Drosophila melanogaster: one gene and its partners. The protein of the gene in region 1 interacts with the protein of each later gene in a biochemical or structural test. Each region holds a gene or a part of one and is shown on either strand. Other genes may lie near its edges. The genes, in order: Dab, sev and drk.

What was found.
Region 2: the proteins of Dab (region 1) and sev form a complex in vitro, tested with the Drosophila melanogaster proteins (one study listed by BioGRID).
Region 3: the proteins of Dab (region 1) and drk form a complex in vitro, tested with the Drosophila melanogaster proteins (one study listed by BioGRID).

What each region holds. Positions count from the first base shown.
Region 1 is NT_037436.4:16,711,538-16,715,292, reverse strand, and holds the start of Dab (disabled), read right to left. Parts: upstream 1,634-3,755; 5' UTR 1,082-1,633; coding exon 973-1,081; intron 1-972. UniProt on the Drosophila melanogaster protein: Together with Abl, involved in embryonic neural development. May have a role in eye development. Acts as an adapter protein for SH2-domain containing proteins during sevenless (sev) signaling.
Region 2 is NC_004354.4:11,084,700-11,088,454, reverse strand, and holds the start of sev (sevenless), read left to right. Parts: upstream 1-2,155; 5' UTR 2,156-2,259; intron 2,260-3,755. UniProt on the Drosophila melanogaster protein: Receptor for an extracellular signal required to instruct a cell to differentiate into an R7 photoreceptor. The ligand for sev is the boss (bride of sevenless) protein on the surface of the neighboring R8 cell.
Region 3 is NT_033778.4:13,500,808-13,504,562, reverse strand, and holds the start of drk (downstream of receptor kinase), read left to right. Parts: upstream 1-1,721; 5' UTR 1,722-1,872; exon of another isoform or gene 1,873-2,638; 5' UTR 2,639-2,672; coding exon 2,673-2,750; exon of another isoform or gene 2,751-3,089; intron 3,090-3,554; exon of another isoform or gene 3,555-3,755. Other genes in the region: mars, read right to left, coding at 21-1,527.

The DNA of each region.
Region 1 (3,755 bases):
TGATTTATTTTGAGAGAACCCACATTTATGAACGTTTTTATTTAGCACTGTTACAAATTTTGGCAACATTTCAAAAAATTTAAACATAAAAAAGTTACAAAAGGAGTATTTAGGAAACGGAACTATAATATAATTAAACCATCTAGTCCGAAATTAAAAAGAAAATGCTTTAATATTTGCAATATAAGATGAAATGGCAAGCAAACTAATTACTCATTAGTTTATCAAAAGAAGTATAATCCATTTCGACAAAACTCTATGGATTGTGCACAAATCTGGGTTTATTGGACCGAATCCCCATTAAAATATTTTGAATGATTCATTTTTCAAATTTTTCGAGTAATTATGTGCTTGAATGAACACTTGTGTTCCTCGTTGGATCATCCAATATTTAAAATGATGCTTTGATGGAATGCAAAATCTATATGGATTATATATTTTTTATTGTGGTATATCAAATTTGAAATTTTAAAAATCTTCATTCAAGATCAAGAAGACTTTCATTGTTCTATTCAATATTTCGCATCACTTTTCATTCCTTCCGCTGGGAACTATGATTTAAAAACAGTTTTATTATTTCTTTGCCTTCCGAAGCATCTTTATTACAATTTTATACTGAATGCTAAAACAGTTTTGAACGTCTAAGTAGAATTTAAAAGATTTTTAAACATGTATGTACACTGAAAAACTTCTTCTGATCATCTTCTTTATCTTCAGATTTTTTTATAAAGAACTCGATTCTTTGAATATCAGCATTTATTGTATTAGTAAATCTCAATTTGCTATAGTGATAGGACCAATATTGATTTTTTATATATAGCTTCGTCTTATCAGCACAATATCAAAAAAAATTTTCACTGTGATCTTCGCATATGTTTGTATCTTGGTTTTGTTTGCCCTTTCTCACTGCGGAGGGGCCACTGTGTTCGTTTGTTTGTTATTTGTGTATTTGCTTAGTTTGTTTTCGCTAACGTTTTGCGTAATTCGTTTCCTCTGCCGCGCCGCTGCCGCCGCCAAAGGTGCTGGCCAACGAGAGATTGGAGGAGGCTGTGGACAACTTGGCCACCAGGGACTTGACCATGTTTCGCCCGGCCGAAGTCTCAGTGGGTACTGCTCCTGCTCATTGGGAAAACGCTGGCTGGAAAAACTCTGGAATTCTGGAACTCTGGTCACCGAAGTGTCAACAGAATCAGTGTAGCATTCCGGGCCTCTCTGTTGTGTGTGTGTGTGTTGACATTTCCATTGGGACGCGGACGATGACGAGAGGGTGTTGGTGCTGGAGGGGGCACACAATGGGGGACAAACAATACATAAATTCCACAACGATTTTTCGCGACGCTATAGATTTAATTAAATTCTAGCGGAGAACGATGCGCGATCATGGAATGAATAAAAGCGAATGAGAGCGTGGAAACGATTCGAATGCTCTCACGGTGACTCTCTTTTTCGACTGGACTGGATTGTCGCAGTTTGTTCAATTGAAATAATAAACAAAAACACACACACACACTCTTTGAGGCACTCGTGTGTACACATAGATTTCACTCTATTATTTAGTGATTTTTGTGGCGCAAAATACAGTACAGAAAACGAGCAGCTCTCTCGGCCATTGTTGATCTTTTTTGGGAAAACTGCAACACCTGCGACGCCGGCGCAGCAGCTGCTATTCGATTGGCGGATGCTGTCTGAGACGCTTATCGATAAGCCGGGTCTAGCATTGAATCGAGGGATCGATCAATAGGATATATCGGAATTTGAAAAGCTAGCTTCGGCCAGAAATAAACCTAAAACGTTTAGTTTTACTTAATGGTGAGGAATTTACTTTGTCCCTGCTCATAAGTATGATTAGCTTTTTAAGTAAACAAAGGAGAACGCTATGGTCGAATTACGCAGATAATAGAAGTGCGAGGGAGATGCAGGAAGGAAAGTAGAAAAGTTGACTGACAAAATATTTACCACCTAGAAAAGGTCTATCATGTCTCTACAACATGGCGTATGAGTGTAATTTGATATGCAGTGCTGTTAAAAGGGCAAAGTATCTTTAAAGAGAAACAATTTAGGACAGTTTTTCTTTTACTGATTTCAGAAATATTACTTTAGAACTTCGAAGTAGGGATGCCTGTGTTCAAAATACATAATATACCCTAATTCAATTGACAATACCAAATAAATTCGTTGTTGACATAAAACACTGCAATTTAAATCAATGTGAATGGCTTGCGTTTTTAGTTGATAATTTCATCATTCCTCACTAGCAAAAATTTCAAGAAAAAAAATTTCTTCCCACAAGAAGAATTACTTTAAAAAGACTTTATAGATGAAAAAATTCCGTTTTAAGGTGTTATTTGTATTACTTACATTTACAAGGACTCGTTTTCTTGCGCAGCGTCTGCATTTTGCTCAGAAAAAGCTGATTGGCATTCGTGTAGTAATTCCTTTGGCCGCGTATAATGTTGCGAATAATGATTGAGCCTTAAAGAGCTTTATTTATTTATGATTTATTGGACTTCCTTCGTTGTTTTATTGCTAATTGCCTTTTGTGATTTGTTTACACTTGTTTCGCTCTTTGCGTCTTCCGTCTCTTTCGCACTCCCCAACTTCCTGACAGTCAGCGTTTTGTTGTTGTTGTTATTGTGCCAGTCGGTCGATAGAACACACCGGCATTTGTCTCACTCACACTCGCACGCGCTCACACGGACACGGCACGGATTATCGATTTTCCAACGGGGGCCTCTGTGTGCGTGTTTACTTCCACTTTGCCTACTTTAAGGCGTTGTGGGGGGTGGGAAAGGGATGTAGCTACGCCTTTCATTATGCAGCGGTAAGCTATCTAACTTCAATTAACTGTTATTCGTTGTTTTTGATCCTTTCCCGTCTTAATATTGCACAACACGCGCAGCTTTCTTTGTCTGGCAGCCAGGAAAAAAAGTGAAGCACAAAGAAGTGGGTGACACACTCGTGATTTTGGCTGAGCGAAAAAACCAATTCGACTCTTTTGGCAAATATTTACAAGCTGATTTTTACGTTCTTCCTGCTTTGCATGTTATTGGCCATTAATTTAACCCAATTTGAATGGGTTTGTAGTTTAATTTGGGTCCTACGCCCTGGGAGCAGCAGGATATGCACACACACCGAAAATTCGATAGTAAAACTCCAAGGATTCGAGGGTGGTGGGTCAAGTGCCGCGGGCACCCTGTACGCCAGCCGGTACATAGGCTATCGGTCTATCGACGACAACCGATAGGTAATTGCTCGTACTTGCGGTACACACAATTACATATGTTTATACAAAGGTTTGACATAAATTGAAACTATAATAGTAAATTTCTCTGTTAAGCTTTGATAGAAAAAAAAAATGTAAAGATTTTATACCAAGGGTACCTTAAAGTTCGATTAGCTATCAAGATATTATGTCGTTAAAACTCGTATAACCGTTGAAGATCCTTTTTTAAATGATGATTTAAATTTTCTTGGTATTTTCTACAATCGAATAGATGGTCACACTGCAAAGCAATTTCTCCACAAAACAGTGGCGCCATTACGGCCGAAAAGAGAACTCAAAAACATAGCAAGACATCGAAAAATATTGCACCACAACCTTGCAACGGTCACTTTGCTCGCAGTCTGCTGCGGTCACTCTATTCGAACGGAACGGAATATTTATCGCGGATTGTCGCGTTATTTCGTTTGTGTCGCGCCTCCATCAAACTCACCTTAAAAATTAACACTCAAATCGTAGATTACGAGCTCTGTGC
Region 2 (3,755 bases), on another chromosome or scaffold:
CGTTTCGATGTTTTGGTTCGCGCCGGACGATCATGATCATCCAATGCCACCAAGTCCATTATGCAGACAGTCGGGCACTGGGGCATCGATTGGTGGTGAATCATCCAAAAACAGTTCCCAAATCGACACAATACACCATTTAATATAATATAATTTTATGTTACGTTAAGCAACCAATTGAATTGCTTTACAACGTATAAACTAACTCTAGTTTCTCTTCAATTGTCGATATAAATAAAACCTTTTACTCAATAAACTGAAAAAGACTAAAACATCAATGACTAAACTGAGAGAAAGAAATAAATATTTTTATGCAAGACCAATTTGTAGTGCTACAAAATTGCAAATTTCACTACAGTTCAAGATTGAAAAGAGTTTGCATGCAAAATGTGCACAATACGTCAATCAGAAGGTGAATTTCCGGGGTTGTCCCTTTTTTTTTCGAAAAAAATGCGAAAATCTGATTTTCACGTGACAGTCTGTGAAATAGGTATGTAGCACCTAGTCCGCCGGCGAATCCATTGAGAATCGCTCGGGTTGATAAGCCGCATCTTCCGTCAAGTGTGTGTAATAAGTTTGCCGTCTAATCAATTCCAGAATATTTCAAACGATTAGTACGAATTCGATGATCCCAGGCGGGAGATTGGATTTCCACAGATTATTCGGGCCAAGAAATTGTGCGCACGAGTGCAGTTTGGATGTCTGCGGCACATCCTTTCCGTTGGCCAAAAAATCCATAAGCGAAAGGGATACTTGGACTTGATGGCGGAACCGGAAACGGAAGCTGTCACGCAAGCCTTTCACTCGCCGCTCAATTTTTCATCCCGCAGTGTCAGTTGTATGAGTCACGAGTCATGTGTAACCGGAAAATTGCCTACTCTTGTGTGCTTCAAATGCTCGGAAAATGCTTTAAAATATTGCATATTTCTTAGCTTGCGAGTTTTTGATTCTACAGAGTAAAAAAAAAATACCTAAATGTTTGTGTAAATCAATGAAATTAATAGCTTAACTTGTTTTCTTCATATTTCTCGGTTAAAAAGTTATGGAAATATGATATTTTGTAGTTTGATAGAAAATTTTTAATGAAATTTCTATGACTTTCCACATCTCGTTTACTTTTCATGGAAATACACTTCTATTCACCCCAATTGATGACTTTATTTTCTGATTGTGTGGGCTAGTTCCCTATTGAATTCAATTATTTTCAAGCGTTTACTGCTGCTTGCGATCAATTAGTTTAATAATCAATTTAGGTGTGCTGTTAATGCTTAGCTAAATGTAAAGAGTGAGTCAGCTAAACGATTTAAACAAATTTTCTGCCACGTTTATTTGTTGGCGAAAAAGCGCGTTGATTTGCGCTATTCATGTGACGATGTTTAGAGTAAATTGAGTTGTATTTTAAATTATTTCTGTTAACATTTGTAAACGAATAAAGTTTTTTTCCATTGCAAGAAGTTGAAATTTAACCCTCTTTGGATGTAAGCTTTTCAATATATTTAGTCTTAATAAGTCTAGCTCAAAAATAAGTACTATAATTTAATAATTATATACATTTTACATAGCCTCGGCCCATTACCTTAATTTTAATGATACAAAGATGTTACTATGTAAGTCGGAAGCTTATTAAAAACCGAAAATCATCAAATCAACTAGATGCACAATGTTAAGATCATGTTTTTATTAAGATTATATTTTAGATAGATACTCTTGAGGTGGCATTGGTTTCTTGAGATGGAAAATACATCTATCTATCTATGTATCTATAAGAACTTAAATATCTGGCGGCCTGCTTGCGATCTGCGATCAACCGATTGAGTTGAGCTTTGACCCATGGAAAGAGGAGCGCGGTGGGCTATCTACCCATGATATCCAGTTTAGGGGTTGCCCTGCCAATGACGTCATAGTTGCTGCGTCAACGAAAAAGAAGATCAATGGTCATTTAAGATCGGTTCGGTTCAGTTCGGTTCGGTTGCGGTGCGCTTCGTCACTCATCGTTCATCGCATCGTATGGTATCGTATGGTATCGTATGGTATCGTATCGCATCGCATCGCTTCGGTTCGGTTTCAGTTCCGTGCTCAAGTTCTCCAGCTGGGGGGTTGGACTTGGACTTGGAGCTTGGGGCTTGGTTAAAAAGCCGCCGCTCGCCGGCAAATCAGTTCTGCTGCGATCGCGCCACTGCGCACTACGTAACGCTTCGGGAATCGCACATCCAGATCCAGATTCAGATCCACATCCAGATATCTGTGACATTTTGTCGAGTGAGTTGCGTTCTCAAAGATACAAGATACATCCGTGCGCGTATGTGTGTGTTTGCATGAATTTCGGCTCTTTTAATACCCTTTTTTTTTCGCGTGCACTAAGTGTTCCTATGTGTGTGTGTGTGGAGTTGCTTTTCAGTTGGGGCCGCAACTGCAACAATAAAATGCAATTAAGCCGCTCAAATCAACAATAAATTGAATTAAAGCGCGTGAACAGCGCTTAACAACTTCAACAGCGGCGATTCGAGCGAAATGTGGGTGAGAGTTTAAGGCTCCATCGGTTTTGACTTTCTGATTGTACAAATATGTATATATATATACTATAGCATACATACCTTCGACTAATTAATGCAAAACGCTGGCCGGCAGCTTTTGCATAATATTCTCTGAATAACTTTAATGCAATTAATCCCGCTGTGATCTTTCGTGTTTTCACTATTTCGCGCGGTTTATTCAATTTGAATTTCAATTTATTTTCGGTTTTTCTGTTTCATTTTGTTTATACATATATATATTTGTTCGGTCTAGTCTGCTCATCGGGCGATTTAATTAACATTTTCCGTGCTGCTGTGCTGTTGTTGTTGCTGGTAAATATGAAATTAAAGTGCAATTAACTATTATATATACATATATATATATATACATATATATATGTATATCTATGGTTTTGCTGAACTTGCGGACAAAAGGGATTTCCGTTTTTGAAAGTGCGACTCCGCTCGATTATTCTCCGTCCGTCGAATGTGTTTGCATCTTAATGAGGATAAATTTGTTATGGCCACTTCCCGTTCGCTATTGTTGTTGTTGTTGTTGTTGTTGTTGTTGTTTTTGCTGTGGTCGGTCGAAGGGGGCGTGACTTATTGGCCATGCATTACGCCATGTTAATTGAAACTTGTCGCTTGGCTAGCTGATTATGCAGACGCCATATTAATTGGACCATGGACCATGAGAGCATGGACCATCCATGTCCTCTAATCGAAATCCCGGCGACATTTGGATGAGTTGGGCGGTGGAAGCTGGCCAAACCAGTTACGGAGATCATTGGGATTTTGGCTTATCGATCCGGACTTAGATTGTGTGTGTGTGTGTTTGTGTTTACCCTGTTTATCTCGCCGGCAATGTGCGTTGAACCTTTGAGCTGCATCTGAAATAAGTAGAATGCAATGTAGTTAAGCTTTTTCTTGGGGTATATTCACTTGCCTACTTATTTTTATTAATTATTTTCCAAATATATCAAATATATATCAAATATATCAAATATATTATATACATCAAATTTTCAAATATGCAAATATCATTTAATGCTATTGGTACAGCTATTAATCAACTATACATGTAAATTGTTTATGCTTGTTACACTAAATTGAGTAATAATCCGGAAAACTCATGATAATTGACGGTTTGACAAAAATGATAGTAATATAGCATTTTGCAAGGGCAGAACTGCCACTTTGTAAATACAGTGATTGGAGTATCTATTAATTAGACAAAACTTG
Region 3 (3,755 bases), on another chromosome or scaffold:
AAGGCGTATCCCAAACTCACCCGTCGTCTGCTGAGGATCCAAGATGAGCGAGTCCTCCGCCGGCGAATTCGCCACTGAGTAACGCGTAAAGTCGAACTTTTTCTTTGCCACCGGACCTGACGCCTCTTTCTTACCTTCCGGCAGCAACTGCCTTTTCACCGAACTTTCTCCTTCAGCTTTGACCGGTGCCACCGGGCTCAACAAGATGGTGTCGCCAAACGCCTCCAAAAGATGACCGCTGCTATTGTTCGACTTGCACTGCGTTGATGTGGCCTGGTCGATAAAGGGATTATGGATATCGTCTAGCGGCGTGAGAGGCGGTATATCTAGCGTGGCTGCGTGCAGCAACTCGGCTTTGAGCTGAGGAAGCTTTCGCACGTTGTCCTGAAGCCTCGTGTACTGGCTCTTTATCTTGGTGGCCTTCATTCGTATGGAGTGACTTGCTGCCTTGCTGGTCGCTCCAGCTGTGTCCTTGAACTTGGCCGCGGCACCACCTCCGCCACGTATAGGCTGTGGTTTCACGACATTCGCCCGTCGTGTCACTGGTGCCTTGTTTCCTAAAGGTTTCTCGAACGGCTTGGACAACACATTGGGCAGTCTAGCTGTCCGTGGCGCTGGCGGCTCAGGTAATCTTGGCTTTGTGCTGACCACTGGTGGCTGTTGTCGTATGCCTGGCGTTTTCGCTTTCGTGACTGTCGCTGGGGTGGGTCTGGGTATGGTGGTAGTGATCTTTTTCGCTTCAATCCCAGGCTGCCTTACACTGGTAGTTTGCTTCGTTGTGTTGGGAATGGGTCGTGCAGCTGCTTTTTGCCTGGCCAAGGCCACTGGATTGTTGTTCTGACGAATTGCAGGCACTATTTTTGTTGCAGAAGCAGCTGATTTATGCCTGGCCAAGGCGGAAGATGCAGCCACGGTATTGGATGACGGAGGAGCTGCTGCTGACGTTGGCTTGGGTATTGAAGGTTTAATCGGTTCTGCGGCTTTTCCCTTGCCCGTCGGATTGGCAATCATGTAGAGAGAACACCGCTTGGGAGGCTGGAACATGGGAGCCGCCTCCTTCTGCTTTGCAGAAGCCAGATTATCGGGAACCCGAAATGTTTGTGATTTGGGCAAGGCCTTTGATTGTTTTACTGTCGGCACATTGATGGCTGCGCCTCGACGTTTCTGGTCTTGCTGCTTATGCTCCTTGGTCTTGGCTATCTTCCACTCCATGTAGCGTTGTAAGTAGAGCTTCTGGCGGGAGACCTTCGGGTTGGATTCCTTCAGCAGTTCTGCGGGCTTCGTGTCCAGCCGCTCCGGACTCTCCAGTTTGGGTGCCACATTTTCCTGGGTCAGAGCAGCTTGGGCCGCCGCCAATTGCTTTATTTTGACGGGCGTCGGGCTCACGCTGATGATGCGGTTCTGATAAAAACAATCCTCTCGTTTTTTGGCGCGCGCCGCCTGCAACCGATCCCTGTTCTCCTGGCAGTGATTGCGCGGACTCAGCACCAGCGATTGCTCCTTGTACAGTTCCTTGTGGCGCTGCATGGCGACTGCTGTGACGGATGGGCGAGTCAAACTGAAGTGTCCGGTTGGGAATGAAACGTAATGCTGACTTTTCCGGCGAAGCGTCTCCTGTTTTGATTTTTAAAATGGCGAAGCGTCTTGCGGTGTGACCAGGTGAAGGAAAACTACGAAAGCCCTGCGGTATGCCTCTCCCACAGTGTTGTGTTCAGTATATTTTCTTGGAATAATAAAGCGACCCGGCCACGGTCACGCTGCTATGAAAATAAAAGTGAATTACAAATTTAGCAGTAGTAATATGTTAGCCAAACCGCTCCCGCGCCTAATTAGTGTCGCTTAAGCTTGCAGCCACCCTAGCCCTTTGAAATTGTAAGCCCGGCGGCCTCTTTGCACGTGCCAGAGACTCGAAAATAGTTAGCCGCAACTTACGCATATAGAAATATAAGCGCCGCGTGTGTGTGTGTGTGTGTGTTTATTGGGGTTACAAAAAATAAAACAAACAACAACGTCACCGCGGCAGCATTGCCAACAGCAAGCACCCACGCCCTAGATTGCCAAATGTTAATTGTGTTCTAAGCGACACATTTCATATTATTTAAGGCAAATTACTTCGCATAACAACAAGTAATAGCCAAACATCGTCTAATTGCTTTTGCGGTACCTGCTTTTCCCCGAAATTCCAAATCGCAAGCTGCTGGCAACGCTGCCACGCTCACGCACACACACCCACACAGTGGCCGCCGTGGAGAGAGCGGCTCGTGTCTGTGTTCATTCTCTGTTGCTGCTCCGCCTGGGAATGTCGTCGTCGTCGGTGTATTTTTAATCGCTTTCTTCCCTTGCCTTCGCACAAGATATATTATTATTAACCGAACTGAGAAAAGCGCACTGCCGAATATCCATGATTTATCGTTTATATAATGTGCGCTAACTAATCGCGGATTCGTCTCGTTTCGTTTTCATTTCCACAGCACTGAGTAGTGAGTGAGAGAGAAATTCAAAGAGAGTTAGAGAGAAAGAGCAGAGAACGAGCGTGTGTGTCTGTGCCTCTGTGTGTGCGTGTGTGTGGTGCATCAAGGCTGATAGAACTAAATCCAAAACTACAATTGCAACTAAATTTTAAAACAAACTCCGAAAGCGTTTTCTAACTGCGCACAAAACAACACAGCAAAATGGAAGCGATTGCCAAACACGATTTCTCTGCGACGGCTGACGACGAGCTGAGTTTTCGCAAAACTCAGATTCTAAAGGTGAGTGCTGTTCCAAAATCATCAATTCCCACCTCAAATCATAATATCTGCATTTATTCATAGACTTCACACTGAATGGGGGCACGCAAGGGTGTAAGGGGGTGCACAGGGGGACGTGGCAGGTCCTGCATGCATAATCCGCTGCGATGCAGCTGCCGCCGTCCAGGTCGTTGCCTTAACCCACATCCTAGGTTCAATCCCCAGACAGATTTTGTTACTAAATCGCGACCAAACAGACAGCAGTCGCAAAAGCTGGCTAAAGAGTTTCAAAAGGTGCATTCGCAGAAGGCAACACGAAAGGATTACGACTCATTAGCCACCGCAGCCCGAATACTCTTACTAGAACGAAAAGATTCAGTCAAATATATTCCACTATCAGTACAAAATCCTTGTGAAGCATCACATACTGAAATATTGTACATTCTACTCTACATTTTTTCATTTCTCAACTGCACTTCAAATCTATCAAGACCATATTTTTGACCCCATTTAATCTGCATATAGTTGTGATTAGCATTACAAAGTAAGTTTAAAAAATGATGTGAGGAGGGGGTTTCTAAAGCTATAAACATGCATATATGATTTAATCTATATACTATACTTTGCAAATCTAGCATTTTTCACTGTGTTTCCTTGAATGAACTTATTTATTGTTAGCATTCCTATAGTATATATACTATTTCAACTTTCCTTATTCGTTTTCTTCCGAATGCTTAGAAAAACAATTCCAACAGTTTGTAGTGATGATATATTCGATGCCCCCTTTGACTTTGCGGAACTTTGTGGGGGACATCCGATGCTTACCCGTGTTGCTTGTATTCGCTGGCTTTTCTGGCCAAGAAAAAGGCTGCTGGCAGGCTGCGATTCGATCTTTTTCGCCGCCTTGCTTCCTTCCAGGTGTTTGTGTTTGTGTTGGCTCACTGGCTCGATGGCTGGCTGGCTGGCTGTCCTAGGCCAAACCCTTTGTTTTGGCTGGCGAATTTTCCGGTTTCTTGTTGCCAGGGC